Linked DNA regions of Anolis sagrei. Each later gene encodes a partner of the first gene's protein in a complex. Links are inferred from orthologs where the notes say so. Each region holds a gene or a part of one and is shown on either strand. Other genes may lie near its edges. The genes, in order: POLE3, POLE4 and POLE2.

Region 1 (10,823 bases):
TCTTTCAGATGCTTTTGTGAATTTATCTGATATCTTAGTGCTTGTCAAGTACGTGGGCCAAGAGGAGAAGGAGGAGAAGAAGGGGTTGTCTCCCTGGCATTTGGGAGGTTGGCATTTCTCAACCTCCCGAATGTCATGATCCCTTAACACATTTCCTCATGTTGTGGTGACCCCTGATCATAAAATTATTTTTGTTGCTACTTCATAACTACAATTTTGCTAACTGTTATGAATTGTCATGTAAATATCTGATATGCAGGATATATTTTCAGTCACTGGACCAAATTGGGAAGAAATACCCAATATGCCAAAATTTGAAAACTGGTGGGGCTGGGGGGGGAGGGGGGGATTGATTTTGTCATTTGGGAGTTGCCGTTGCTGGGATTCATAGTTCACCTACAATCAAAGAGCATTCTGAACTCCACCAACAATGGAACTGAACCAATCTTGGCACACAGAACTCCCAAAATGAACAGAAAATGCTGGAAGGCTTTGATCGGCATTAACCTTAAATTTTGGAGTTGTAGTTCACCTACATCCAGAGAGCACTGTGGACTCAAACAATGATGGATCTGGACCAAACTTGGCACAAATCCATATAAATAAAAATGTAATGTTCGTTTGTGGGACTAACATAACTCAAAAACCACTGGACTAATTGACACCAGAGAGCACTGTGAACTCAAAACAATGATGGATCTGGACCAAATTTGGCAGAAATCCATGTAAATAAAAATGTAATGTTCGTTTGTGGGACTAACATAACTCAAAAACCACTGGACTAATTGACACCAAATTTGGACACAACACACCTATCAGGCCAACGAGTGACCACCACTCATAAAACACTGAAAAACACAGCAGAAGAGACTTAAAAAGCCAAAAAATAAAAAATAAATTAAAACACATGATCAAAAACACACATATATAGACAAACACACATATATACACATATACACAAATATATACACACATATATACACACACAAAATACATATACACAGGCTGGTCACAGCAACGCATGGCAGGGGACTGCTAGTACTCAATAGGCCCAAATGTGAACACTGGTGAAGTTTGGGGAAAATAGACCTTGACATTTGGGAGTTGTAGTTGCTGGGATTTACAGTTCACCTAAAATAAAAGAGCATTCTGAACTCCACCAATGATGGAACTGAACCAATCTTGGCACATGGAACTCCCATAACAAACAGAAAATACTGCAAGGGTTTGGTGGGCATTGACCTTGAATTTTGGAGTTGTAGTTCACCTACATCCAGAGAGCACTGTGGACTCAAACAATGAAGGATCTGGACCAAACTTGGCACAAATACTCGATATGCTCACATGTGAACACTAGTGCCTTGCATAATTACATTTGGTTGTATACCACTTGAGAAGATTCTACTCAAACAGGATTTTACCTCTTCTCTAAAAGTTTACGGTCTCTAAAAGGTCATGATTTTCTATAATAACTAGCAATGATGAGCATCCTTCTTCACCATCCCAACTGATCTGTACTTCTGCATAACAGCAGGAGCTTAGGGATGTTTCTTCTATTGGACACACTGCTCCAGCAGCCGTTGTGGAGCGTGAACCCACTTCTTCTTTCCACCCGAGTCCCTTTTGATTTGGTGTGGGCTCAAAGAGAAGCTTGGGACAAACCAGCAAACCGGGCAGGGTTGAACCTTGCAGGCCGAGGGGATCCCAAACTCCCCCCCCCCCCCCCGCTCTCCTTTGCCCTTAACTCACTTGTTCGAGTTGCCTCGAGCAGCTAAAGCTGAATGGTGAGAGGTGCGGGGTGTGAGAATCCATCCGGGAGTTCAGCCCTGGGAAGGGATTCCTTTCAGAACTGGAGGGCAGACAAGAGAGCAGAAGCCATGTTGGAAAAGGCAAGGCAAGCAGGTACAAAGCAAGGTGGCACATCTAACTCTGGGGCTTATGGCTGCACACAGCGCTGAGCCGAGGACCCAATTCAATGAATAACACATAAATTGGACTATTGCAATGCGCTCTACGTGGGGCTGGTACAACAGGCAGCAGCCAGGCTCCTTACTGGAGCAAACTATAGGAAGCATACTACGCCCCTATTAAAACAGCTGCATTGGCTGCCGACAAGTTGCCGAGCCAAATTCAAGGTGTAGGTAATGACCTATAAAGCCCTAAACGGTTCGGGGCCCACCTATCTTCACGATCGCATCTCCATCTATGAACCGGCGCGAACTCTAAGATCCTCCAGGGAGGCCCTCCTCTCGCTCCCACCTCCGTCACAAGCACGGTTGGTGGGGACGACAGAGAGGGCCTTCTCGGTGGTGCCTCCCCACCTCTGGAATGCCCTTCCAAGGGAAATGAGATAGGCCCCATCCTTCCTCTCTTTTCATAAGATTTGATGACTTGGTGATTTAAGTGATCAGTGTTAGCTCAGCCCAGACACTGTCCGAACATGACCTAGCCCCCTATTTATTTCCCTGGTCATTCTCCTAACAGGCCCCTGCAAATAACATGTCCCCGCTTTTGTCGTGACCGCATTTCTGTGTACGAACCCACACAATCTCTTCGATCATCTGGAGAGGCCCTGCTCACGCTCCCACCTCCTTCGCAGGTGCGATTAGTGGGGACGAGGGAGAGGGCCTTCTCGGTGATGGCCCAACTCTGGAACTCACTTTCCAAGGACATCAGGCATGCCCCAACTCTGACAGTCTTTAGGAGGAGCCTGAAAACGTGGTTGTTCCAGTGTGCCTTCCCAGAATAAGGAAAATTCTCAGCAATATGCCCTCAAAATGCACTTTACCACTGATTTGAGATTGACTGCGTTCCCTCATCTCTCTCTGAAAACCCTATACCAGTTATATCCTACCTTGTTCATGCCCAGCATTATTTTTTAAACTATTACATTTGGCCCGGCCATAGGTTTTTAAATCTTTGTGTGTTATTGTTTATTGTTTATATGTGATTTATATTAACTGTATTGTATGTATTGTTTTTGTTTATTGCTTTTGTTTATTGATGTATTGTTGGGCTTGGACTCATGTAAGCCGCTCTGAGTCCCTTGGGGAGATGGTGGCGGGGTATAAATAAAGTTTTATTTTATTATTTTATTTATTATTACAGTACTGTACTCAAATGCCGGTCCCATCTTATTTCAATTTGTATCAGTCTTGATCCAGCCTTTTTAATTGTCCTGACCCATTCCTTTTCCATGCCCTAACAAATAGACATGAAGAGCAGGCAGGATTTTTTTTCTTTTAATATTTATGTGTTGTTAGGTAATTCCATGCTTATGTTGCTGTTACTGTTATTTTTTTGTACATGTTGTGACTCTATGTTTTGATGTTGTTGCTTGGAAACCACCCTGAATCCTCCCAGGGAAGATAGAGCAAAAATATAAAGAAAAATTATTATTATTATTATTATTATTATTAATAATAATAATAATATCCAGACCCTTCACAAAGCTAGGGAATTTTGTTATGAAGCTTCACTTCATCCAACCGCCTTGTCCAGACACACTGGACCCCACTGCCAGCTGGGCATATCAGTGGAAGGACTGGATGAGTTGCATTGGGCACCAAAATGCATTCAGGGCCCTTTAAAAAGTGGATCTAGTTTCCTAGGATGTGTGTGGCACATCAGAAAAGTGTAAATCCCTATGCACTGCCATCCCAAATGCTGAGTTTGTGACTAACCTCATTACCGAGACTGGGGGTATCCAAGTATCATTCGGGGTACAATTTGAAAAATAACTTCTGGTGTCTTTCGTACGGGAGACAGTTTTGGAAACGGAACTGTAGCTTTTGCTGCACTTGACTCCCTGTTTCTGAGGGCAATTGAGAGGAAGGTCTATGATTTTCAGTGTGGGCAGCTCACCTGAAATGTGCGGAAAACACAGTCACAAAACCAGGCTCAAAAGGAACAGGATCATTGTCCCTGAAGGAAGAGGCTCCTCCCTCCAGGCTCCAGGTGCAATACGGAAGGTGGGATTACCTTCACAATCTGGAGACTCTCTCTCAGGGGAGGCCAGGGCCCCCAAGACTATCCGGGGGTGCCCACTTTCAATCCTCCGCAGCGTCTCCCAGCAAAGAGGGTGCTGGCAAGGCATCATGTCGCAAATGGTCTCGTCCCATTGTTTGGTATCTACTCCCACCATCCTGGCCGCTCTGTCCCAATGTCACATTACTGCACATAAATAGCAAAAAGAACCCAGTATAAGCAAGAGGATTTCCCAGGGTTATATTCTAGAACGACACACCAACAATGACTCCTCAAGGTCCTTCGAGGTCTGTTGGATGCCGAGCCTTCCTTATCTAGGACTCAGAGAACATCTACGGTCGGTGAAATCTCTCTCCTGGCTGAAAAATTTCTATATAGAATCCTCTAGTCCATCCCCCCTCTGGCCAGGTAGGAAGGCACCATACAAACCCTTCTGACAGATGGCCATCCAGCAATAGATATGAGTGAGAAAGAGTAGATACACAGATGTGGTAGGTAGATAGATAGATAGATGGATATGATTAATATATCATAAAATCGTAGAGGTGGAAGAGACCCCAAAGACCCCCTAGTCTGGCCCCCTTTGGCCGGGCAGGAAGGCACCATACTTCACTTCACTTCACTTTATTTCTTAATTAGCACAATTTAAAATAGCATTTACACAATATAAAAACATACAAACCCTCCTCACAGATGGCCATCTGGCCATAGATATGATATGGTTGAGAGAGAGAGAGTAGTTGCATAAATGTGGTACATGTATATATATATGTGTGTGTGTGTATATATATACTATATATACTGTATATACTCTGTGTGTGTGTATATGTATATAAAATGATTAATATATCATAGAATCCTTGAGTTGGAAGAGACCCCAAAGACCATCTAGTCCATCCCCCTTTGGCCAGGCAGGAAGGCACCATACAAACCCTCCTGGCAGATGGCCATCTAGCCATACTGCACATGCTCTGTGTGTGTGTATAATGATTAATATATCATAGAATCCTAGAGTTGGAAGAGACCCCAAAGACCATCTAGTGTCTATCCCCCTTTGGCCAGGCAGGAAGGCACCATACAAGCCCTCCTGACAGATGGCCCTCCAGCCATAGATGATATGGTTGAGAGAGAGTAGATACACAGATGTGGTGTATATGTATGTATATGTGTATGTATATATATGTGTGTGTGTGTATGTATATATATATATACACACACACACTGGAGATATATATATATATATATATATATATATATATATTATTAACATATCATAGAATCCTAGAGTTGGAAGAGACCCCAAAGACCATCTAGTCCAGCCCCCTTTGTCCAGGGAGGAAGGCACCATCCAAATTCTAGGGGGTGAGAAGGGCGGGGTAGAAATGCCCGAAATAAATAAATAATTAATTAATTCTCCTGACAGATGGCCATGACAAACCTCTCAACCTCTGAGGATGTCCGTCATAGATGTGGGCGAAACACACAGGAGACAATGCTTCTGGAACATGGCCAGACAGCCCGGAAAACTCACAGCAACCCAGTGATTCCGGCCGTGACAGCCTTCGACAACACTGGCTATTATATGGTTGAGAGAAGAGATCTCAAAGGCCATCCAGTCCAACCTAAAAAGGCACTATCCAAACTGTCTTGGCAGGTGGCCATCCAGCCATAGATAGAAGGCCGAGAAAGAGATATGTTTGACACACACACATACACATATCAAAAGAATCCTAGAGTTGGAAGAGACCCTCAGGGCCATCCAGTCCAACCCCCTTCGACTATAAAGGACTTCAAAGCACTCCCAAGAGACGGCCATCCAGCCTCTGCTTAAAAACCTTGAGAGCAGACTCCAAGGAAACATATTTCACTGTGGAACAGCTCTGACCACCAACAAACAAGCCTGCTTCCTCCTCTCCATGATTTCCCCTCACATCTTGATAAATGGCCCTCATCCTGACTCCTCTCAGCCTTCTCTTCTGCAGCTCTTTCAGCCGCTCCTCATAGGGCTTGTTCTCCAGACCCTTGATTCCCACAGCCATCTTGTATCCAACTAAACATCCCTAACTTTCACTCCTCACAGGTTTCCAATTCTTTGACCATTTTGGTCACCCTTCTCTGGACCCCTTCCATCTTTTATCAATATCTTCCTTGACTTTTCCTCCTAACGTACATTCTGAGGGGTTGGGAGCACTCTGTGCATGCTCAGAGGCCTCTCCTTCGCCAGTGTGGAGGTTAACAGCGCATTCCACGTGATCCTCAGCCCGCTCAAGGCGAAGGAGGCTTTGCGCCTCCGAAAGCGGGAAGGCCTTCCGTTGCTGGGCAACGCGCGGCTTGGTTTCCCAGTGTGCACCGCGCGGCGGCAAACTCACCACTTCCGGGTCCAGAAAGAGAGCTTGAGAGAGGCGGCTGCTTTGCTTTGGCGCGCGGCTTCGGAGGTTCTGCGCATGCCCAGAGCTCGGCTCTTACTCGAGGGAAGGCTTTTGAGGCCTGCGGCATTATGGCCGAGCGGCCGGAGGACTTGAACTTGCCCAATGCCGTGGTCACACGGATCATTAAAGAAGCCGTGAGTCCCGGGGAAGGAGGAGGAGGAGGAGGAGGAAGGGGGCTAGCTTCGTCCCCTGTCCGCCTGACCCTCTTGTCTTTCTCCCTTTGCAGCTCCCCGACGGCGTGAACGTCTCGAAAGAGGCCCGGAGCGCTGTGTCCCGGGCAGCCAGCGTCTTCGTGCTCTACGCCACGTCCTGGTGAGGCCTAGCCGAGGGAGGAAGCGCTCAATAGACTCATTCACCCCTCCTGTGCCAGCCAAAGCCTCTATATCAGACTTAGGCAAACTTGGACCCTCGAGGTGTTTTGGACTTCAACTCCCACAATTCCTAACAGCCTCAGGCCCTTTCCTTTTGTCTGGGGAGGTCCTGCTCTCAGTCCTGCCTTCTTCACATGAATGATTGGCGGGGACGAGAGACAGGGCCTTCTTAGTGGTGGCCCCTCAGCTATCGAACTCCCTCCCTAGGTATATTAGATCAGCCCCCTCCCTCCTGACCGTCTGGAAAAAGTAAAATCCTGGCGCTTTGAACAGGTTTTTGGAAATGCAGGGCAATATAGAGCCAAAGCCTCTATATCAGACTTAGGCAAACTTGGACCCTCGAGGTGTTTTGGACTTCAACTCCCACAATTCCTAACAGCCTCAGGCCCTTTCCTTTTGTCTAGGAAGGTCCTGCTCTCAGTCCTGCCTTCTTCACATGCATGACTATCGGGGATGAGAGATGGGGCCTTCTCATTGGTGGCCCCTCAGCTATGGAACTCCCTCCCTAGGTATATTTGATCAGCCCCCTCCCTCCTGATCTTCTGGAAAAAAGTAAAAACCTGGTGCTTTGAACAGGTTTTTGGAAATGCAGGGCAATATAGAGCCAAAACATAGAGGGTCCAAGAGGATCTAAGTCTATATCTTAGGCAAACTTGGACCTTCTAGGTGTTTTGGACTTCAACTCCCACAATTCCTAACAGCCTCAGGCCCTTTCCTTTTGTCTGGGGAGGTCCTGCTCTCAGTCCTGCCTTCTTCACATGCATGATTGGCGGGGACGAGAGACAGGGCCTTCTTAGTGGTGGCCCCTCGGCTATGGAACTCCCTCCCTGGGTGTATTAAATCAGCCCACTCCCTCCTGACCATCTGGAAAAAAGTAAAAACCTGGCGCTCTGAACAGGTTTTTGGAAATGCAGGGCAATAGACAAATATGGAATTATGTAAGTTTGAAACACGGAATGGCTTAGAGAACCTGCTCCTATTTTTCTCTCATTAGAGTTTTTTAATCATTTTATCCTGTACATCTGGCCCGCCCACTGTTATCGTGATGGTGTTTATTGGAATGTTATTTTGTTACTGTGTTTATACTTTTTTTCTATGTAATTTTGATGATGTTGCTTGTTGTTTATGTTCTGGTTTTATTTTGCTGTAACATGTTTTGCTTGGCCCCATGTAAGCCACTGCGAGTCCCCATTGGGGAGATGGTGGCGGGGTATAAATAAAGATTATTATTATTATTATTATTATTATTATTACCCCATCTAACACAAGCTGTAACCCTATCCCCTGTTCGGCCTTTCGACTGACCAGGAGTACCTCTGTCTTGTCTGGATTTAGTTTCAATCTGTTTGCCCTCATCCAGACCGACAGAGCGGCCAAGCACTGATTCAGGACCTGCACAGCCTCCTTAGTGACAGTATTTAACTAGAGACAAAAATGGTTTTCCTTTCCCTCTTTTCTGCCCCTCTCTGCCATTAGTGCCAACAATTTTGCCATGAAGGGGAAGCGGAAGACGCTGAACGCGGGGGACGTGCTCTCGGCCATGGAGGAGATGGAGTTCCAGAGGTTCCTCGCCCCGTTGAAGGAGTCCTTAGAAGGTAGTGTGTGCCCCAGCATTCAGGGTGCCGAGTCTGCTGGGCTTCCTGATTCTGTCTTGGTCCGAGGTGCCCCCGATCCTGCTGTAACCTTTCCCTGTCCTTTCAGCTTACAGGAGTGAGCAAAAAGGGAAAAGAGGCGCCTTGGAGCTCAAAAAGAAGGACCGAGACAAGAAGGAGGGCTCTGAAGACCCCGAAAAGAGCCAGGAAGAGGAGAATGAGGAGGAGAGGATGATGGAGGAGGAGGAGCAGAACGAGGAGGAAGAGGAGAATGAGGAGGAGGGCTGAGGCAGCACAGGATCCATTGCCTCCTGCCAAAGGACTCCCTCAAGCTGCGGCCACTGTTTGGCTGGAAGGCACCACACCGAAGTCTCAGGCTCCCTCCAGCTACTCCTAGTGCTGTAGTCTTGCTAAAGAGCCCCCGTCTTCCCACAGACTTCTGGACAGCTTTTTATATGCAAAACAGTGTGTCTTGATCCCATAAAAGGATCTTTTAGGGCTCCTGGGGTCATGCCTGGTGTTGGATTTGGGGGGCAAAAATGGGTAACATGAAGGGAGGGGGCATTGGGGAATGGGCAGCCCTTGGCTTGGGCCTCCTTTCTTCCTCCCAAGTTGCTTCTCTCACAATGTGCCTTCTCTTTGGGGCAAGAAGGTTTGGGCATTTTGTTTTTCCCAGAGTTCACTGCTCTGACCATTCTGTTGTATTTCCAGTATCTAAGTCTCATTTTTGTGTTTCAATAAAGGTGCTGAATCACTTCAGAACTCTACTGATTTCTGTGTTTTAGATGTGACGGGGACAGTCAGCTGGAGATGTTCCCCCCCCCCCAAAAAAAGCTGCGATGGCCTTGTTACTGTTACTGTTTATTGTTTATATGTGATTTATATTAATTGTATTGTTTTTATTGCTTTTATTGCTTTTGGTTTTATTGATGTGTTGTTGGACTTGGCCTCATGTAAGCCTCTCTGAATCCCTTGGGGAGATGATGACAGGGTATTAAAAATATTATTATTATTACTATTACTATTATTATTATTATTATTATAAGAGCCACAATCTGCCCTTCGCAGCCTGAGAGGAGGAGGGTTTCCTTGCCAGGACCTGCCAGGAAGAGCCTCTCTGTAGCAATACAGTGTTCCCTCACTTATGCCGGTCTGATTGTCTTCGGGGATCCCTCTGACATCCCCTCGTGACCCCCCCCAGGGGTCCCGACCCCCTGGTTGAGAAACAGTGGTTTAAGTCCACAGTGCCCTTGAGATGTAGGTGAACTACAACTCCAAACTCAAGGTCAATGCCTATCAAACCCTTCCAGTATTTTCTATTGGTCATGGGAGCGCCACGTTTGGTTTAATTCCATCATTGGTGGAGTTCAGAATGCGCTTTGATTGTAGGCAAACTATAAATCCTAGTAACTACAACTCCCAAATGACAAAATCAACAACCCCACCAGTATTCAAATGTGGGCGACCGTATAGGGTATTTGTGCCATACTTGGTCCAGTGAATGGAAATCCATCCTGCATATCAGATATTTATATGACGATTCGTAACAGTAGCAAAATGACAGTTATGAAGTAGCAACAAAAATATTATGGTTGGGGGTCTCCACAACATGATGAAGGGTATCAAGGGGTTGTGGCATTAGGAAGGTTGCAAAACACTGCCGTAGAAACTCCACTCTTAACCCAGGAGATGGCAGCAGTGGGCAAACCATGCTTCTGGCCCTTTAAGGAGAGAGTATGGGCATCAGGAGGGAGTGGTTATGCAGTCCAAGGGGTGTGCTTATGCAGGGGCTGCTGGGAAAGTGGAAGAGAAGAAGGGAAAGTCTTTGCCTGCCTGATCCCCTGCCATTTGCTGTCCTGTACAAGGCAAGTATTGGAGCAGGGCTTTGAGAGGAAGGGGCTCCCAAACCCATTGCTATTATGGAACAGGCCCTTGAAGGCGACCCAAAGGGAGTTCTCACCTGGGGATTTGGGTGTGGGAGTGTGTGAAAAGTCAGGATCAGCATTGGGACCTTCTCCAAAGGGTGGGGGAGAGGTGTGTCCAGAAACTTGCACAAGCAGTCAAGAGTTGGGCTGACGAAACCCGCATGCACGCACCCACACAGAAGTGCTTTTTCATCCCCTATTACAGGTCACTGGGTTGGTTTCAAGCTTTACGTTGTTTCTGTAATTATTGTATTTTGTTCATTTGCACCTTTGAGAGCTTTGTAAGCCGCCCCAAGTCTTTCTGGGAGATGATGGCAGGGTATGTATAAATAAATAAATAAATAAATAATAATAATAATTATTATTATTATTATCATCCATTGCATGGATGTTATAGCTGTACCTGCTTTGTTTACCTTTTGTAAGACTGGAGGTCAGGGTTTGGATCCTCCCTTGACCACGCTAAACCCTCATTGGCTGAAGCTTGGTGGGTTCCACTCTCTGAGACCCCAGGAGAGA
Region 2 (10,200 bases), on another chromosome or scaffold:
CACTGTGGACTCAAACAATGATGGAGATGGACCAAACTTGGCACGAATATTCCATATGCCCAAATATGAACACAGATGGAGTTTAAGGGAAATAGACCTTGACATTTGGGAGTTGTAGTTGCTGGGACTTATAGTTCACCTACAATCAAAGAGCATTCTGAACACCAATGATGGAATTCAACCAAACATGGCATATGGGACTTCCATGACCAACAGAACACACTGGAAGGGTTCGGTGGGCATTGACCTTGAGTTTGGGAATTATAGTTCACCCACACCCAGAGAGCACTGTGGACTCAAACAACGATGGATCTGGACCAAACTTGGCACAAATATTCCATATGCCCAAATATGAACACAGATGGAGTTTAAGGGAAATAGACCTCAACATTTTAGGAGTTGTAGTTGCTGGGATTTATAGTTCACCTACAATCAAAGAGCATTCTGAACTCCACCAATGATGGAATTGAACCAAACATGGCATACAGGACTTCCATGACCAACAGAGCATTCTGAAACCCACAAACGACAGAAATGGGGCAAACTTCCCACACAGAACTCCCATGACCAACAGAGAATACTTAAGGCCATCCAGTCCAACTCTCTTCACCAGGGCAAGAAAATGTAATCAGAGCCCTCCTGACAAAGAGCCATCCAGTCATAAATATAGATAGATAGATATGATTCTCTCTCTCACACACAGATATGGTATCATAGATTTGAAAGAGACCCTTAAAGGAGGACTATGGTATGTGGCATGTTCCAGAGTAGGCAAACCAGACACTCTCCACATCAACACTGACAAAGAAACAACACGAAATACTGTTTACTCACAAGCAGAAAGGAATTACATATATTAGAAACCAACACTTTCTTATTAATTTATTTTCCAGATCACTAGACTGGGCCACAGCAACGCGTGGCAGGGGACAGCTAGTATATAATATAATATATTATTATAATCTAAAATAGACAAGACCAGAAGGTGAATAATGTGGCAGAGAAATAAACTGTCCAAACTATGTAATACATTTATGATCATCATCATAATCTAGACAATAGTATTAATTATGTGTTGTCGAAGCCTTTCGTGGCCAGAATCACTGGTTTGTTGTGAGTTTTCCAGGCTGTGTGGCCCTGTTCAGGAAACATTCTCTCCTGCTGTTTTGCCCACATCCATGGCAGGCACCCTCAGAGGTTGTGAGGTCTGTTGGTAACTAGGAAAATGCGGTTGATATATCTGTGGAAAAATGTCCAGAGTGGGAGGCAAGAAAACAGGGGAATTCCAGACAGGAAACAATCAGGTCTAGCTATCACCTCCCAACCAAGGATTCCCCAGGCAGGAAGCAGCCAGACTTTGAAGCTGTAAGGTCATTCAATGTTAATCAAGGTGGCCAATTGCAACATTCACTCTTGCCTCAAGCAGACAAGAGTCCGTTCTCCCACCCTGGACATTATTCCACAGGGGGTGCCTCCAGGCAACAAAGGCCAGGCTCCCTCTATGCAGATTCCCCTCACTGATTGATTTTACAGGTCATTTAATGCTACTTACGTTGGCCAATGGCAACATTCACACTTGCCTCACACGGACAAGGGTTCTTTCTCCCATCCTGGACATCATTCCACAGGTATATATATATATAAACCCAGAAAATGTTAACCATTTCCGCTACCTTGGCAGCCCCCTCTCCACCAAAGTCAACATCGACACCGAAATACAACACCGCCTGAGCTCTGCAAGTGCAGCATTTTCTCGAATGAAGCAGAGAGTGTTTGAGGTCCAGGACATCCGTAGGGATACCAAGGTGCTTGTCTATAAAGCTATTGTCCTCCCAACCCTGCTCTATGTCTGCGAAACGTGGACTGTCTACAGACGTCACATGCAACTCCTGGAACAATTCCATCAGTGCTGCCTCTGGAAAATCCTGCAAATCTCTTGGGAAGACAAGCGGACAAACGTCAGCGTGCTGGAAGAAGCAAAGACCACCAGCATTGAAGCGATGGTCCTCTGCCATCAACTCCGCTGGGCCGGCCACGTTGTCTGGATGCCTGACCATCGTCTCCCAAAGCAGTTGCTCTACTCCGAACTTAAGAATGGAAAACGGAACGTTGGTGGACAGGAAAAGAGATTTAAAGATGGCCTCAAAGCCAATCTTAAAATCTCTGGCATAGACACTGAGAACTGGGAAGCCCTGGCCCTTCAGCGCTCCAGCTGGAGGTGAGCTGTGACCAGCAGTGCTGCAGAATTCGAGGAGGCATGAGTGGAGGGTGAAAGAGAAAAATGTGCCAGGAGGAAACCAATGCCTGGAAACCAATGCCTTCACCGTGGGAGAAGATGCGGGTCAAGAATAGGGCTCCACTGCCTCCTACGAATCCACAAAGAAACCCATCATGGAAGACCATCTTACTCGTCCAACGAGGGATCGCCTAAGTAAGTAAAGTAAGTAAGTAAGTAATATATAAACCCAACTTGCCCAGTTTCCAACAGACCTCACAACCTCTGAGGAAATGACAGGAGAGAATGCTGCTGGAACATGGCCAGGCAGCCCAGGAAACTCACAGCAACCCAGTATTGACTCCAATGGGCCGCTTACCTTCCAGGAAGGCAAATTCGTCCACGGCTTCAATGGCGTTGTCTGCAGGTGAGGCATAAAACAAAAATGGAATTAATAAGGAGGTATTATTATTATTATTTCTGTATTATTATTATTTCTGTATTATTTCTCACCCAAGTCCTTCCTCTGGAGGGTCTTCCTCTTGCCTTGCTGGGCAAAGATGAAGGCGTCCTTGGCAATGGTCTCCACAAACAGCTCCTGCAATATATATAGAGAGAGATAGAGATTGTTATTATATAATATTTGTATTATATTATTTATTATAGCATCATGATACATTGTATTATTATCTATGTATAAAAAATGCTCTATTCGTTTTGAGTGACATCCTAACTCAAAATCCGCAATTATGCTGCCAAATTTGGCCACAAGACACCTACTAATGCAAGGAGTTATCATCACTGAAAAAATTGATTTTGTCATTTGGAAGTTGTAGTTGTTGGGATTTATAGTTCACCTACAATCAAAGCGCATTCTGAACTCCACCAATGATGAAACTGAGGGTTTGGTGGACACTGACCTTGAATTTGGGAGTTGTAGTTCACCTACATCCAGAGAGCACTGCGGACTCAAACAATGAAGGATTTAATGTATTGTCGAAGGCTTTCATGGCTGGAATCACTAGGTTCTTGTGGGTTTTTTCGGGCTATAGAGCCATGTTCTAGAGGCATTTCTCCTGACGTTTCGCCTGCATCTATGGCAAGCATCCTCAGAGGTAGTGAGGTCTGTTGGAATTAGGAAAATGGGTTTATATATCTGTGGAATGACCAGGGTAGGACAAAGGACTCTTGTCTGTTGGAGCTAGGTGTGAATGTTTCAACTGACCACCTTGATGAGCATTTGAAGGCCTGGCTGAGCCTGGGAAAATGTTCTGTTGAGAGTTGTTAAGATGTGCCTGGTTGTTTCCTCTCTGCTGTTTTGCTGTTGTAATTTTAGAGTTTTTTAATACTGGTAGCCAGATTTTGTTCATTTTCATGGTCTCCTCCTTTCTGTTGAAATTGTCCACATGCTTGTGGATTTCAATGGCTTCTCACAAACTTGTCATGAATACTCCATATGCCTGAATATGAACACAGATGGAGTTTGGGGGAAATAGAGATTTGAGAGTTGTAGATGCTGGGATTTATAGTTCCCCTACAATCAAAGAACCCCACAAATGGTAGAATTGGGCCAAACTTCCCACACAGAGACACCCATGACCAACAAAAATACTGTGTTTTCTGGTGTCCTTTGGTGAGCCTTATGACACCCCCTATTTAATAGAATACCAAGCTTGAAAACTTTGTGTTCTGTTTGTTTGTTAAAAAATGAAACACAACTGTTTGGTCTGCTCCTGACACGATAAATAAATAACCCAGTGATTCCGGCCATGAAAGCCTTCGACAATACAATAAACATGCAATTCTTCAAAAAGTGAAAACTGATGAACCAGCCTGGACACAGTATATTATTTGAGAACACAGAAGTGCTGGACCACTCTCACAACCACCATGTCAGACTACACAGAGATGCCATTGAAATCCACAAGCATGTGGACAATTTCAACAGAAAGGAAGAAACCATGAAAATGAACAAAATCTGGCTACCAGTATTAAAAAACTCAAAAATTACAACAGCAAAACAGCAGAGAGGAAACAACAAGGCACATCTTAACACCTCTCAACAGAAGATTTTCCCATGCTCAGCCAGGCCTTCAAATGCTAATGAAGGTGGTCAGTTGAAACATTCACACCTAGCTCCAGCAGGGAAGAGCTCTTTGCCCCACCCCAGCCATTCCACAGATATATAAACCCTTTTTCCTAATTCCAACAGACCTCACTACCTCTGAGGATGCTTGCCATAGATGCAGGCGAAACGTCAGGAGAAAATGCCTCTAGAACATGGCCATATAGCCCGAAAAAACCCACAAGAACCTAGTGATTCCAGACATGAAAGCCTTCGACAATACAGTGAAAACTTTCCCAAACTTTTCAAGGAAAGCACGCGCGCCCCCTGTTGGTGAAACAACGCCACCCTCTCTTCAGCCACGCCCCCTGCACCCTGGTATTGGCCACGCCCACAGCGGCGAGATTGGCCAGCATTAAAAAGCGCGCGGGGGTAGCCACGCCCACACGCAGTCTCCGCCTACCGGGAGCAAACGAACGCTCTGATTGGCCAGGCGATTGCCCCCTTCCACCCCTCGCATGCGCAGTCTCAGTCTCACCGTAGCGCGGGCCAAGATGAAGACGGCTTCTTGGCTGGCGAGGCTGACATCCGGGTCGGCTTTGACCAGCGCTTTCACCCGGGACAAAGGCAAGCGAGCCGGGCGGGCCGTTGCGGTAGTGGGTGGCGCCTCCGGTTCTTCGCTGGGAAGCGCCGCCGCGACATTTACCTCAGGAACCGCTGCTGCCATGTTGGCCGCTACTGCGCCTGCGCCACGCGGTACGCAAATCAAGGCCTCAGGCCCCGCCTTCATGCCGCGGGAAGCCACGCCCCCTCTGCCCGGCTTTCACTGGCCCTTCCCGCCAAAGCTCTCTAGGGGGAGTCAGAGAGCTCTAGGGAAGAAAAAGATCACAATAATAATTATATACCCTAACATAGAATATTAATATAATAATAAATATAATAATATAATATATATATATATATATATATATATATATATGCATAACACCATATAATATTAATATAATAAATATATAGTAAATATAATTACTTTATCGTTTATCAAAGAATCAAAGAGTTGGAAGAGACCTCATGGGCCATCCAGTCCAACCCCATTCTGCCAAGAAGCAGGAATATTGCATTCAAATCACCCAGGACAGATGGCCATCCAGCCTCTGTTTAAAAGCTTCCAAAGAAGGAGCCTCCACCACACTCCGGGGCAGAGAGTTCCACTGCTGAACGGCTCTCACAGTCAGGAAGTTCTTCCTAATGTTCAGATGGAATCTCCTCTCTTGTAGTTTGAAGCCATTGTTCCGCGTCCTAGTCTCCAGGGAAGCAGAAAACAAGTTCGCTCCCTCCTCCCTGTGGCTTCCTCTCACATATTTATACATGGCTATTATATCTCCTCTCAGCCTTCTCTTCTTCAGGCTAAACATGCCCAGCTCCTTAAGCCGCTCTTCATAGGGCTTGTTCTCCAGACCCTTGATCATTTTAGTCGCCCTCCTCTGGACACATTCCAGCTTGTCAATATCTCTCTTGAATTGTGGTGCCCAGAATTGGACACAATATTCCAGGTGTGGCCTAACCAAAGCGGAATAGAGGGGTAGCATTACTTCCCTAGATCTAGACATTATGCTCCTATTGATGCAGGCCAAAATCCCATTGGCTTTTTTTGCCGCCACATCACATTGTTGGCTCATGTTTAACTTGTTGTCCACAAGTTAAACTCCAAGACTCCAAGATCTTTTTCACACGTACTGCTCTTGAGCCAGGCATTGTCCCCCGTTCTGTATCTTTGCATTTCGTTTTTCCTGCCAAAGTGGAGTCTCTTGCATTTGTCACTGTTGAACTTCATTTTGTTAGTTTTGGCCCAACTCTCTAACTTGTCAATAATAATTATATACCCTAACATAGAATATTAATATAATAATAAATAATATAATATATGTATAACACCGTATAATATTAATATAATAAATATATAGTAAATATAATTACTTTATCATTTATTTATCGTGTCAGTATCAACCAGATAATTGTATTACATTTTTAACAAATTTTAACAAACAGACAAAACAGAGTTTGCAAGCTTGGTAGTTGATTAAATGTCCTTTGACCAGTATCTGACCACTTGGAGTGCCTCTGAAGTCGCCCAGTCTTCTGTGTGCCCAGGGGGGAGTCTCTCATTTGGTATCAGCCATTGATTCAGGTTCTGGGTTTGAGCCTGCCACTTTTGGACTCTCGCTTGCTGAGGTGTTCCAGCGAGTGTCTCTGTAGATCTTAGAAAACTATTTCTTGATTTAAGTCGTGCTGGCTGATACCCAAACAAGGGATGAGCTGGAGATGTCTCTGCCTTGGTCCTTTCATTATTGGCTGCTACTTCCTGGCGGATGTCAGGTGGTGCAATACCGGCTAAACAGTGTAATATCTCCAGTGGTGTAGGGCGCAGACACCTCGTGATAATGCAGCATGTCTCATTAAGAGCCACATCCACTATTTTAGCGTGGTGAGATGTGTTCCACACTGGGCATGCGTATTCAGCAGCAGAGTAGCACAGCGCAAGGGCAGATGTCTTCACTGTATCTGGTTGTGATTCCCCAGTTGTGCCAGCCAGCTTTCGTATGATATTGTTTCTAGCGCCCACTTTTTGCTTGATGTTCAGGCAGTGCTTCTTGTAGGTAAAAGCACAGGCCAGAGCGACTCCCAGGTATTTGGGTGTGCTGCAATGCTCCAGTGGGATTCCTTCCCAGGTGATCCTCAGAGCTCGGGATGCTTGTATGTTCTTGAGATGAAAAGCACATGTCAGTATTTTTGATAGGTTAGGGATCAGCTGATTTTTCCTGTAATAGGCAGTAAGGGCACCTAGAGCTTCGGAGAGCTTCTGTTCAACCATCTCAAAGCTCCCTGCTTGAGCAGTAATGGCACGATCATCAGCATAGGTGAAGCTCTCTGTCCCTTCTGGCAGTGACTGGTCATTTATGTAGATGTTGAACATGGATGGAGCAAGCACGCTCCCCTGAGGCAGGCCGTTCTTCTGTTTCCGCCATTTGCTTCTCTGGCCCTGGTACTCAACAAAAAAGCTCCTGTTTTGTAGCAGGTTTCCTATGAGGCGGGTGAGGTGTTAGTCCTTTGTGATATTATACATTTTTCTCAGGAGGAGGCGGTGGTTCACAGTATCATAGGCTGCTGACAGGTCTATGAAGACAGCTCCTGTAATCTGCTTTATCGTAATATAATAATATAACACCATATAATATTAATTAATAAATATAGCAATATAATAATATAATGATATAACATAGAAGATGGAGAGGCATAGAGCTCTTGGGAAGAAGAAGATAATAATAGTGATATAATAACATAGAATTATTAATATAACAAAATTAATAATACAGGTGTATAGTGACATAGAATAGGGGGAGACAGGGAGGTATAGAGAAGAATATAACAATGATAATATAGTAACATAGTATAGGTAAAGGTAAAGGTTTCCCCTGACATTAAGACTAGTCATATCCAACTCTGAGGGGGTGATGCTCATATTGTAATATGACAACACAAAGTATTAATATAATGGTATAATAATAATACATATAGTAATATAATTATAATAATAATAATGAAATAATACAATATAACGCTCCCTAATATTATTCAGTGCATCCCTCCCTCTATTATTATTATTATTATTATTATATAAAGTGCATCTCTCCCTATTACTATTATGCAGAGTGCATCCTTCCCTCTTTATTATTATTATTCAGTGCAACCCTCTCTTTATTATTGTTATTATTATTATGCAGAGTGCATCCCTCTCTATTATTATTGTTGTTGTTATTCAGAGTGCATCCTTCCCTCATTATTATCATCATTATTATTATGCAGAGTGCATCTGTCATTATTATTATTCAATGCATCCTCCCTTCATTATTATATTATTATTATTATTATGCAGAGTGCATTCAGTCCAACCCATTCTGCTAAGAAGCAGGAAAATCACATTCAAAGCCCCCCCCCCCCCCCCCACAGATGGCCACCCAGCCTCTGCTTCAAAGTCTCCAAATAAGGAGCCTCCATCATACTCCAGGACAGAGAGGGAGAGAGTTCCACTGCTGAAAAGCTCTCTTTCACCGTTAAGTTCTTCACAGTGCATCCTTCCCTTATTATTATGCAGTGTATCCTTCTCTATATTATTATTATTATTATTATTATTATTATTAATATAGTGCAGAGTGCATCCCTCTTTTTGCAATATTATTATTGTTATTATTATTTCCCCTCATTGGGATTGCCTCTGAGCATGTGCAGAGTGCATCCCTCTCTGATATGACAGGATATAAATAAAGATGATGATTAGGTTCTTGTGGGTTTTTTCGGGCTATAGAGCCATGTTCTAGAGGCATTTCTCCTGACGTTTCGCCTGCATCTATGGCAAGCATCCTCAGAGGTAGAGGTCTCTACCTCTGAGGATGCTTGCCATAGATGCAGGCGAAACGTCAGGAGAAATGCCTCTAGAACATGGCTCTATAGCCCGAAAAAACCCACAAGAACCTAGTGATTCCAGCCATGAAAGCCTTCGACAAAGATGATGATTATTTGCCATGTGCAGAGTGCATCCCTCTCTGATATGATGAGGATTACTATTACGCAATTGCACCTCTCCATTGTTGTTGTTGTTGTTGTTGTTATTATTATTATTATTATCCACCCTTGGGTTGCCTCTGAACATGTTCAGAGTGCATCCTTCTCACAGTGACAAATGCAAGATATCCCATTCAGGCAGAAAAAAATGAAATGCACAGAGACAGAATGGGGGATGATGGCTAGCTCGACAGTAGGACGTGGGGAAAAGACCTTGAAGTCCTCGTGAGGAGGAAGGGGAACATGAGCCAGGAATGTCATGCAACAGCTTGAAAAGCCAATGGGATTTTTGCCTGCATCAAGAGGAGTCTAGTGATCCAGGGAAGTCATGCTACCCCTCTCTTCTGTCTTCATCAGACCACTTTGCCTGGAATCACACTGTGTCTGATTCTGGGCACCAAATTGAAGGGAGATGTTGACTCTAAGCTGGAATGTGTCCAGAGGAAGAGGGCGATTCAAAGGATCCAGGGTCTGAAGCCCTATGAGGAGCGGCTGAAAGAGCCGGGCATGTTTAGCCTGCAGAAGAGAAGGCAGAGAGGACACATTATGAGGGCTGTGTATAAATATGAGGGGAGAAGTCATAGGGAGGAGGGAGCAAGCTTGTTTTCTGCTGCCCTGGAGACTATGACGCAATGGAACCATGGCTTCAAACTACAGGAAAGGAAGGAGATACCACCTGAACATGAGGAAGAACTTCCTAACTGTGAGAGGTGTTCAGTAGTGGAACTCTCTCTCTGCCCTTGATTGTGGTGGAGGCTCCTTCTTTGGAGGCTTTGAAGCAGAGGCTGGATGGCTATCTGTCGGAGGCTTTGAAGATGATATTCCTGCTTGTTGGCAAAATGGGATTGGACTGTGTGGCCCACCAGGTCTCTTCCAATTCACATGACCTTGGAGGTGTCTACGGACAACGCTGGCTCTTCGGCTTAGAAATGGAGATGAGCACCACACCCCAGAGTCAGACATGACTGGACTTAATGTCAGGAGACTACCTTTACTATGTTGTTGTTGTTGTTGTTGTTGTTGTTGTTATTATTATTATTATGCAGATTTCACCCCTCCCTCTCTGATATTATTGTTAGTGTTGTTATTATTATGCAGATTTCATCCCTCTCCATTCTTCTTATTCTTACTCTTCTTGGCCATGTGCAGAGTGCATCCCTCTCTCCGTCCTTCCCCCATTGAGATCTATATTTGACCGCCTGCCTGCCCTGCCAATCCCTTAAGACTAAGACCTTTGTTTTTCCCGCAGGGACAGGACTTATGACAGTGCCTCCTTCGCCCAAAGCCGGCTCAAGACGTC
Region 3 (10,957 bases), on another chromosome or scaffold:
TCATTTTTGTAGCCTAGGTGACTGTGATTGATCTGTTCCTGTCTTGTTGTGCTGCTGATGTCACTGACAGTGATTAACTGGTCCTGATTGTTTCTTGTCTGGAATTCACCTGTTTTTGAGTGTTGTTCTTTATTTACTGTTATGATTTTAGAGGTTTTTTTTTTTTTAAAAAAAAAACACTAGTTGCCAGATTGTGTTCATTTTCATGGTTTCTTCCTATCTGTTGAAATTGTCCACATGCTTCTTGTGGATTTCTGTGACTTCCCTGTGTAGCCTGACATGGTGGTTGTGAGAGTGGTCCAGCATTTCTGTGTACTCAGATAATATGCTGTGTCCAGGTTGGTTCATCAAGGGCTCTGCTATGGCTGACTTCTCCGGTAGAGCCATACAGACTCACAAGTTCTGAGGATGTCTGCCATAGATATATATGCAATATAATACTAATAATAGTATTTTTTTTTGTCGTGTCAGGAGAGACTTGAGAATCTGGTGTGAGAGAATTGGCCGTCTGCAAGGACGTTGCCCAGGGGACGCCCGGATGATTTTGATGTTTTTATCATCCTTGTGGGAGGCTTCTCTCATGTCCCCGCATGAGGAGCTGGAGCTGATAGAGGGAGCTCATCCACACTCTCCCCAGATTCGAACCTGCGACCTGTCAGTCTTCAGTCATGCCGGCACAGGGGTTTAACCCACTGCGTCACCGGGGGCTCCAATAATAGTAATATGATATTATAATTATATATTTATATTACATGTAATATTACTAATAATATTACAATGTAATGGTATAGTACAATATAGTAATATTTAATACTGATATTGTCCTATGCTAATAATATAATATGTTGTAGTTCATTCGTTCAGTCGTCTCCAACTCTTCGTGACCTCATGGACCAGCCCACGCCAGAGCTCCCTGTCGGCCGTCACCACCCCCAGCTCCTTCAAGGTCAGTCCAGTCACTTCAAGGATGCCATCCATCCATCTTGCCCTTGGTCGGCCCCTCTTCCTTTTGCCTTCCACTTTCCCCACCATAATTGTCTTCTCTAGGCTTTGCTGTCTCCTCATGATGTGGCCAAAGGACTTCCACTTTGTCTCTCATATCCTTCCCTCCAATGAGCAGCCGGGCTTTATTTCCTGGAGGATGGACTGGTTGGATCTTCTCGCAGTCCAAGGCACTCTCAGAACTTTCTTCCAACACGACAGCTCAAAAGCATCTCTCTTCCTTCGCTCAGCCTTCCCTCAGGTCCCGCTCTCACATCCGTAGGTGACTACAGGGAAGACCATGGCTTTGACTAGGCAATGGATCTTGGTTGCCAATCTGATGTCTCTGCTCTTTACTATTTTATCGAGACTGGACATTGCTCTCCTCCCAAGAAGGAAGCGTCTTCTGATTTCCTGGCCACAGTCTGCGTCTGCACTCATCATTGCGCCTAGAAATACAAAGTCTGTCACGGCCTCCACGTTTTCTCCCTCTATTTCCCAGTTGTCAATCATTCTTGTTGACATAATCTTGGTTTTTCTGATGTTTAGCTGCAACCCGGCTTTTGCGCTTTCTTCTTTCACCTTGATTAGAAGGCTCCTCAGCTCCTCCTCGCTTTTGGCCATCAGAGTGGTGTCATCTGCATACCTGAAGTTGTTAATGTTTCTTCCAGCAATTTTCACCCCAGCTTTGCATTCCTCAAGCCCCGCACATCCTCACATGATGTGTTCTGCATACACGTTAAAAAGGTTGGGTGAGAGTATGCAGCCTTGCCGGACGCCTTTCCCAATCTTGAAACAGTATATATCTCTTGCAAGCCACTCTGAGTCCACTTCTGGGTGAGAAGGGTGGCATATAAAAGTCGTAAACAAACAAATAAATAAATAGATGCAGGTGAAACGTCAGGAAAGAATGCTTCTGGAACATGGCCAGCCTGGAAAACTCACAACAATCCAATGATTTTGGCCATGAAAGCCTTCACTAATCCAAAGACAACATTATTTGAACAATAAACTCCCAAACTTTGGATTTGCAGGAAATTCTGTCAACCCTCTCTACATTATTTAGCTGCTCATGCAAAAAAATCAATGAATGGATGCCATATTAATACTGACATTACACTACACCACGTATGGGCAAACTTCAGCCCTCCCTGCAGGTGTTTTTGGACTCTCACAACTCCTAACAGCCTACTGGCTCTCACAAGTTATTGTGGGGGTTGAAGTTCAAAGCACCTGGAGAAAGGGCAGAAATTTCCCCATTTATTTGTCGTGTCAGAGCAACCAGTCCATTATATATTACATTTCTAACAGAACAAAGCAAACAGACAGAAAAATACACATCTTGTGAGTTTGGTAGTTGGTTAAATGTCCTTTGACCAGTATCTGGCCACGTGGAGTGCCTCTGGTGTTGCTGCAAGAAGGTCCTCCATGGTGCATGTGGCAGGGCTCAGGTTGCATTGCAGCAGGTGGTCAGTGGTTTGCTCTTCTCCACACTCGCATACCGAGGATTCCACTTTGTGGCCCCATTTCTTGAGGTTGGCTCTGCATCTCGTGGGAGTCTCTCATTGGGTATCAGCCATTGGTTGAGGTGCTGGGTTTGGGCCTGCCACTTTTGGACTCTTGCTTGCTGAGGTGTTCCAGCGAGTGTCTCTGTAGATCTTAGAAAACTATGTCTAGATTTAAGTCGTTGGCGTGCTGGCTGATACTCAAACAAGGGATGAGCTGGAGATGTTTCTGCTTTGATCCTTTCACTATTGGCTGCTACTTCCCGGCGGATGTCAGGTGGTGCAATACCGGCTAAGCAGTGTAATTTCTCCAGTGGTGTAGGGCGCAGACACCCCGTGATAATGTGGCATGTCTCATTAAGAGCCACATCCACTGTTTTAGCGTGGTCTGATGTGTTCCACACTGGGCATGCATACTCAGCAGAAGAGTAGCACAGCGCAAGGGCAGATGTCTTCACTGTGTCTGGTTGTGATCCCCAGGTTGTGCCAGTCAGCTTTCGTATGATATTGTTTCTAGCACCCACTTTTTGCTTGATGTTCAGGCAGTGCTTCTTGTAGGTAAGAGCATGGTCCAGAGTGACTCCCAGGTATTTGGATGTGCTGCAATGCTCCAGTGGGGTTCCTTCCCAGGTGATCTTCAGAGCTCGGGATGCTTGTCTGTTCTTAAGGTGAAAGGCACATGTCTGTGTTTTAGATGGATTAGGGATCAGCTGGTTTTCCCTGTAATAGGCAGTAAGAGCACCTAGAGCTTCGGAAAGCTTCTGTTCTACCATCTCAAAGCTCCCTGCTTGAGCGGTAATGGCACGATCATCAGCATAGATGAAGCTCTCTGTCCCTTCTGGCAGTGGCTGGTCATTTGTGTAGATGTTGAACATGGATGGAGTGAGCACACTCCGCTGAGGAAGGCCGTTCTTCTGTTTCTGCCATCTGCTTCTCTGGCCCTGGAACGCAACAAAAAAGCTCCTGTTTTGTAGCAGGTTTCCTATGAGACGGGTGAGGTGGTCATCCTTTGTGATAGTGTACATTTTTCTCAGGAGGAGGCGGTGGTTTCCCCATGCCTGGTGTACATGAATATTAATGACACTAAAATCTGAAATATCAGCCAATCAAAGTAATGGAAGTCAACAAGACAATCAACCAAACTAGACTGCATCAAAAGCTCCTGCTTGTTTGAAGTAAACGAATGTAAACATACATGGTTTCGTCTACAGACTGGCTGCACTCCAGGACGGCTGCTTCCACCATGGACTTTTCAATCATGTTACATGTCACTGAAAAGAAGAATGTAAAAATACAAAATGGTTTCCTATGTAGTTATTGAGGAGCACGCTTAAAAAGCTTATGACAAAACCTAGTTTACAATCACAAATCCCATCAGAAGCCACAGAAACGTTAAGTATCCCACCCTTTCCTTCTTAAACCATTGTAGAAAACAGACGGCATTACTTACAAGGCTGTTTTTCAACAGCGTCGATTATATTTTCTATCATGTCTTCCAGCTCAACTTCATTAGCTGTTTGAAGAGCTTCTGTGAGATATTTAGCAGCTTCACTAACGGAAGAGAGAAGAAGAAGAAATACCCAAAGTGTGAATAACCTGTCAGTCTAGTTGTCATTGTGTGCATCTACAGTGCAGATTTATGGCAGATGATGATGATGATTATTGTCGAAGGCGAAATCCACAAGCATGTGGACAATTTCAACAGATTATTAAACTAGGTAATGACATGATCTGCTTGGAACAGGATTAAGTGAGTGTACACTGCTATATAATCCAGATTATTAAATTAGATAATGACATGATCTGCTTGGAACCGGATTAGGTGAGTCTACACTGCCAAATAATCCAGATTAGTAAACTAGATAATGACATGATCTGCTTGGAACCGGATTATTTGAGTCTACACTGCCATATAATCCAGATTTTTAAAACAGATAATGACATAATCTGCTTGGAACAGGATTAAGTGAGTCTACACTGCCATATAATCCAGATTATGAAACTAGATAATGCCACGATTTGCTTGGAACCAGACTACATAAGTATACACTGCCATATAATCCAGATTAGTAAACTAGGTAATGACATGAGCTGCTTGCAACCGGAGTAAGTGTGTCGACACCGCCATATAACTCAGATTATAAAATTAGATGACATGATTTACATGAGTCTACAGTGCCATATAATCCAGATTACTAAACTAGATAATAACCTGATCTGCTTGGAACAGGATTAAGTGAGTCTACACTGCCATATAATCCAGATGATTAAAATAGATATTGACATGATCTGCTTGGAACTGGAGTTCATGAGTCTACACTGCCATATAATCCAGATTATTAAACTAGGTAAATGACGTGATCTTCTTGGAACTGGATTGCATGACTGTACAATCCAGATGATTAAACTAGATAATGACATAATCTGCTTGGAACAGGATTACGTGAGTCTACAGTGCCATATAATCCAGATTATTAAACTAGGTAATGACATGAGCTGCTTGCAACCGGATAAGTGTGTCTACACCGCCATATAATCCAGATTACAAAATTAGATGACATGATTTACATGAGTCTACAGTGCCATATAATCCAGATTACTAAACTAGGTAATGACATGATCTGCTTGGAACCAGATTGTGTGAGTCTACAGTGCCATATAATCCAGATTATTAAACTAGGTAATGACATGATCTGCTTGGAACCGGATTACATGAGTCTACAGTGCCAAATAATCCAGATTATTAAAACAGATAATGACATGATCTGCTTGGAACTGGAGTACATGAGTCTACACCACCAAATAATCCAGATAAGTAAACTAGGTAATGACATGATCTGCTTGGAACTGGGGTACATGAATCTACACTGCCATATAATCCAGATTATTAAACTATGTAATGACACAATCTGTTTGGAACCGGATTAAGTGAGTCTACACCGCCACATAATCCAGATTATTAAACTAGATAATCTCATGAACCATTTGGAACTAGATTGCATGATTCTAGGCTGCTTTCCTTCAGTATTGCCCAAGATCTGCCTTTCCATGCCTTTGGACCCCATTTCCCAGAATGCCATCTCCTTAGCCTAAGTGGCAGAGGCTTCTGGGAAATGAAGTCCAAAAGCACTTGGGGCTTAGAGATTGGCCTTGACTGAGCCGTAGATCTTCTCTCCTCCACGAAGGCCTTCCTCGCTTGCCACGGCCACGAGAGAGGCGCCCACCCGACCCCGAGGAAAGGGTTTACTCACGCGCGGAGCAGCAGGCCGTGCATCTTGAAGGCGGCGCCCACTTTCCCCCTCAGCTTCTCCGCCGCCATTTTGGAACTTTGGCGCCAACGGTGAGGCCCCGCCCCTTTCCCCGCCCCTTTCCTGACAGGCCCCGCCCCCTTGTGGTAGAAAAGCGGGTTCCTAGTCTTGAAACTCCCAGAAGCCTCAGCTGCTTTGACCAATGAGGAGGCATCCTGGGAAATAGAGTCCCAAGTACCTGCAAACAGAGTTTTGGGAAACTTTGGTTTTATTCTTCACTGAGGAAGGAAGGAAGGAAGGAAGGAAGGAAGGAAGGAAGGAAGGAAGGAAGGAAGGAAGGAAGGAAGGAAGGAAGGAAGGAAAGAAGGAAGGAAGGAAGGAAGGAAGGAGAAGGAAGGAAGGAAGGAAGGAATTAGAAGGAAGGAAGGAAGGAAGGAGAAGGAAGGAAGGAAGGAAGGAGGGAGGGAGGGAGGGAGGGAAGGAAGGAATTAGAAGGAAGGAAGGAGAAGGAAGGAAGGAATGAATTAGAAGGAAGGAAGGAAAGAAGGAAGGAAGGAAGGAAGGAGAAGGAAGGAAGGAGAAGGAAGGAATTAGAAGGAAGGAAGGGGAAGGAAGGAAGGAAGGAAGGAAAGAAGGAAGGAAGGGGAAGGAAGGGGAAGGAAGGAAGGAGAAGGAAGGAAGGAAGGAAAAAAGGAAGGAAGGAAGGAAGGAAGGAGAAGGAAGGAAGGAAGGAGAAGGAAGGAATTAGAAGGAAGGAAGGGGAAGCAAGGAAGGAAAGAAGGAAGGAAGGGGAAGGAAGGAAGGAAGGCGAAGGAAGGAAGGAAGGAGAAGGAAGGAAGGAAGGAAGGAAGGAAAAAAGGAAGGAAGGAAGGAAGGAGAAGGAAGGAAGGAAGGAATTAGAAGGAAGGAAGGAATTAGAAGGAAGGAAGGGGAAGGAAGGAAGCAAGGAAGAAAAGAAGGAAGGAAGGAAGGGGAAGGAAGGAAGGCGAAGGAAGGAAGGAAGGAAGGAAGGAAGGAAAAAAGAAGGAAGGAAGGAAAGAAGGCAGGAAGGAGAAGGAAGGAAGGAGAAGGAAGGAAGGAAGGAGAAGGAAGGGGAAGGAAGGAAGGAGAAGGAAGGAAGGGGAAGGAAGGAAGGAAGGAAGGAAAAGGAAGGAAGGAAGGAAGGAAGGAAGGAAGGAAGGAGAAGGAAGGAAGGAAGGAAGGAAGGAAGGAGGGAGGGAGGGAGGGAAGGAAGGAATTAGAAGGAAGGAAGGAGAAGGAAGGAAGGAATGAATTAGAAGGAAGGAAGGAATTAGAAGGAAGGAAGGAAAGAAGGAAGGAAGGAAGGAGAAGGAAGGAAGGAGAAGGAAGGAATTAGAAGGAAGGAAGGGGAAGGAAGGAAGGAAGGAAGGAAAGAAGGAAGGAAGGGGAAGGAAGGGGAAGGAAGGAAGGAAGGAGAAGGAAGGAAGGAAGGAAAAAAGGAAGGAAGGAAGGAAGGAAGGAAGGAGAAGGAAGGAAGGAAGGAGAAGGAAGGAATTAGAAGGAAGGAAGGGGAAGCAAGGAAGGAAAGAAGGAAGGAAGGGGAAGGAAGGAAGGAAGGCGAAGGAAGGAAGGAGAAGGAAGGAAAAAAGGAAGGAAGGAAAAAAGGAAGGAAGGAAGGAAGGAGAAGGAAGGAAGGAAGGAATTAGAAGGAAGGAAGGAATTAGACGGAAGGAAGGGGAAGGAAGGAAGCAAGGAAGAAAAGAAGGAAGGAAGGAAGGGGAAGGAAGGAAGGCGAAGGAAGGAAGGAAGGAAGGAAGGAAAAAAGAAGGAAGGAAGGAAGGAAGGAAAGAAGGCAGGAAGGAGAAGGAAGGAAGGAGAAGGAAGGAAGGAAGGGGAAGGAAGGAAGGAAGGAAGGAGAAGGAAGGAAGGGGAAGGAAGGAAGGAAGGAAAAGGAAGGAAGGAAGGAATTAGAAGGAAGGAAGGGGGAAGGAAGGAAGCAAGGAAGAAAAGGAAGGAAGGAAGGAAGGAAGGGGAAGGAAGGAAGGCGAAGGAAGGAAGGAAGGAAGGAAGGAAGGAAAAAGGAAGGAAGGAAAGAAGGAAGGAAGGAAGGGGAAGGAAGGAATGAAGAAGGAAGGAATTAGAAGGAAGGAAGGGGAAGGAAGGAAGGAAGGAGAAGGAAGGAAGGAAGGAAAAAAGGAAGGAAGGAAGGAAGGAAGGAAGGAAGGAGAAGGAAGGAAGGAGAAGGAAGGAAGGAGTAGGAAGGAAGGAGAAGGAAGGAAGGAGAAGGAAGGAAGGAGAAGGAAGGAAGGAGAAGGAATTAGAAGAAAGGAAGGGGAAGGAAGGAAGCAAGGAAGGAAAGAAGGAAGGAAGGAAGGAGAAGGAAGGAAGGAGAAGGAAGGAAGGAAGGAAGGAGAAGGAAGGAAGGGAGGAAGGAATAAGCTGTCAATCTAGTTGTCATTGTGTGCAATGCATCTACACTGTAGAATTAATGCAGTTTGGCACCGCTTTAACTATCATGGCAAAATGCTATGGAATCATGGTTTGGTGAAACAGGCGAAAGGCCTTGTTAAACTACAGCAGGACTCCACAGTCTTGAGCCATGGCAGTTCAAGTGGAGTCAAACTGGGTTAATTCCACAGTGTAGATGCTCCCTTGGTCTGAATTTCCATTAACTGCCATATAAATATATCTATTTCTCACAGTCTGGAGCCTTGTGGGGTGATAAAATAAAGCTGTATTGGTATTTATTATTATTATTACTAGTAATACTATATTTCCACACATATGTTTATGATTATTATTAGCATATTTGCATGCAGATGCTTATTAATATTATATTTTCATAGAGATTCTTGGTGCTCCGCCCTGAGTCCCCTCCAGTATGCTGATGACAACGTCGTCTGGGCGCATTCAGAAGAAGATCTACAAGCCACTCTAAACACCTTTGCAGAAGCATACGAGAAGCTCGGCCTCTCAATAAACATCGAGAAAACCAAAGTGCCGTTCCAGCAGTCACCAGCCAATCCCTCTCCAATGCCAGAAATACAGCTTAATGGTGTAACATTAGAAAATGTGGACCATTTCCGGCACCTTGGCAGCCACCTCTCCACCAAAGTCAACATCGACACCGAAGTACAACATCGTCTGAGCTCTGCGAGTGCAGTATTTTTCTGAATGAAGCAGAGAGTGTTTGAGGACCGGGACATCCATAGGGAGACCAAGGGGCTTGTTTATAAAGCTATTCCCCTCCCAACCCTGCTATACGCTTGCGAGACGCGGACTGTCTACAGATGTCACGTACAACTCCTGGAATGATTCCATCAGCGCTGCCTCCGGAAAATCGTGCAAATCTCTTGGGAAGACAGGCGGACAAACGTCAGTGTGCTGGAAGAAGCAAAGATCACCAGCATTGAAGCGATGGTCCTCCGCAATCAACTCCGCTGGACCAGCCACGTTGTCTGGATGCCCGATCACCGTCTCCCAAAGCAGTTGCTCTACTCCGAACTTAAGAACGGAAAACGGAATGTTGGTGGACAGGAAAAGAGATTGAAAGATGGCCTCAAAGCCAACCTTAAAAACTCTGGCATAGACACTGAGAACTGGGAAGCCCTGGCCCTTGAGTGCTCCAGTTGGAGGTCAGCTGTGACCAGCAGTGCTGCAGAATTTGAAGAGGCACGAATGGAGGACAAAAGAGAAAAATGTACCAAGAAGAAGGCACGTCAAGCCAACCCTCACTGGGAAAGGCTTCCACCTGGAAACCAATGCCCTCACTGTTGGAGAAGATGCAGGTCAAGAATTGGGCTCCACAGTCACCTACGGATGCACAAGAATACTGATCCTGGAAGACTATCCTATTTGTCCAACAAGGGATCGCCTAAGGTAAGGGTAAGGCTATACGCCTGTGAGAGGTGGACTGTCTACAGATGCCACTTTTGTGGGTGTTTATATGAAAGTCTGAACATCGGTATATTGGAGTTCTATAACAGATGTTGTTGTGACCTTGGTTTTGGCTTTCAGTCTGCTAAAGTTAAATAGCTTGCCATCTGTCCGACAGATGATTTCCACTCGGGAGTTTAGAGTGGCTTGTAGATCTTCTTCTGAATGCGCACAGACGACGTTGTCATCAGCATACTGGAGTTCTATAACAGATGTTGTTGTGACCTTGGTTTTGGCTTTCAGTCTGCTAAAGTTAAATAGCTTGCCATCTGTCCGACAGATGATTTCCACTTGGGTGTTTAGAGTGGCTTGCAGATCTTCTTCTGAATGCGCAGAGACAACGTTGTCATCAGCATATTGGAGTTCTATAACAGATGTTGTTGTGACCTTGGTTTTGTTTTTCAGTCTGCTAAAGTTAAATAGCTTGCCATCTGTGCCACAGATGATTTCCACTCCGGTGTTTAGCGTGGCTTGTAGATCTTCTGAATGAGCACAGACGACATTGTCATCAGCATACTGGAGTTTTATAACAGATGTTGTTGTGACCTTGGCTTTGGCTTTCAGTCTGCTAAAGTTAAATAGCTTGCCATCTGTCCAACAGATGATTTCCACTCCGGTGTTTAGAGTGGCTTGTAGATCTTCTGAACGCGCACAGACGACGTTGTCATCAGCATATTGTAGTTCTATAACAGATGTTGTTGTGACCTTGGTTTTGTTTTTCAGTCTGCTAAAGTTAAATAGCTTGCCATCTGTCCGACATTTGATTTCCACTCCGGTGTTTAGCGTGGCTTGTAGATCTTCTGAATGAGCACAGACGACGTTGTCATCAGCATACTGGAGTTCTATTACAGATGTTGTTGTGACCTTGGTTTTGGCTTTCAGTCTGCTAAAGTTAAATAGCTTGCCATCTATCTGACATTTGATTTCCACTCCGGTGTTTAGCGTGGCTTGTAGATGTTCTGAATGCGTACAGACGACGTTGTCATCAGCATACTGGAGTTCTATAACAGATGTTGTTGTAACCTTGGTTTTGGCTTTCAGTCTGGTGAGGTTCAACAGCTTGCCATCTCTCCAATAGATGATTTCCACTCTGGTGGGAAGCTTCCCATCAATAAGATGAAGTATCATAGTGATGAAGATGGAAAATAAGCTCTGAGGGGTTCAAGGGAGATAAGTCCTTCAAATAGCTTCTTGTATGCGTCTGTATTGAGAGTGGCTTGTAGGTCTTCTTCTGAATGAGCACAGACGACGTTATCATCCGCATACTGGAGTTCTATAACAGATGTTGTTGTAACCTTGGTTTTGGCTTTCAGTCTGGTGAGGTTC

What was found.
Region 2: POLE3 (region 1) and POLE4 share a complex: the UniProt entries of both Homo sapiens proteins name them as parts of the DNA polymerase epsilon complex. The link is inferred for Anolis sagrei from reciprocal best matches to the Homo sapiens genes POLE3 and POLE4.
Region 3: POLE3 (region 1) and POLE2 share a complex: the UniProt entries of both Homo sapiens proteins name them as parts of the DNA polymerase epsilon complex. The link is inferred for Anolis sagrei from reciprocal best matches to the Homo sapiens genes POLE3 and POLE2.

What each region holds. Positions count from the first base shown.
Region 1 is NC_090031.1:15,838,975-15,849,797, forward strand, and holds POLE3 (DNA polymerase epsilon subunit 3), read left to right. Parts: upstream 1-6,465; 5' UTR 6,466-6,484; coding exon 6,485-6,550; intron 6,551-6,642; coding exon 6,643-6,728; intron 6,729-8,263; coding exon 8,264-8,382; intron 8,383-8,488; coding exon 8,489-8,667; 3' UTR 8,668-9,141; downstream 9,142-10,823. Other genes in the region: C11H9orf43 (uncharacterized protein C9orf43 homolog), read right to left, coding at 1,750-1,849, 3,684-3,864, 3,982-4,144. UniProt on the Homo sapiens protein: Accessory component of the DNA polymerase epsilon complex. Participates in DNA repair and in chromosomal DNA replication.
Region 2 is NC_090034.1:61,632,084-61,642,283, reverse strand, and holds the start of POLE4 (DNA polymerase epsilon subunit 4), read right to left. Parts: upstream 5,031-10,200; 5' UTR 5,008-5,030; coding exon 4,819-5,007; exon of another isoform or gene 4,795-4,818; intron 2,814-4,794; coding exon 2,729-2,813; intron 2,637-2,728; coding exon 2,595-2,636; intron 1-2,594. UniProt on the Homo sapiens protein: Accessory component of the DNA polymerase epsilon complex. Participates in DNA repair and in chromosomal DNA replication.
Region 3 is NC_090021.1:340,618,545-340,629,501, forward strand, and holds the start of POLE2 (DNA polymerase epsilon subunit 2), read right to left. Parts: upstream 5,841-10,957; 5' UTR 5,806-5,840; coding exon 5,738-5,805; intron 4,038-5,737; coding exon 3,937-4,037; intron 3,758-3,936; coding exon 3,682-3,757; intron 1-3,681. UniProt on the Homo sapiens protein: Accessory component of the DNA polymerase epsilon complex. Participates in DNA repair and in chromosomal DNA replication.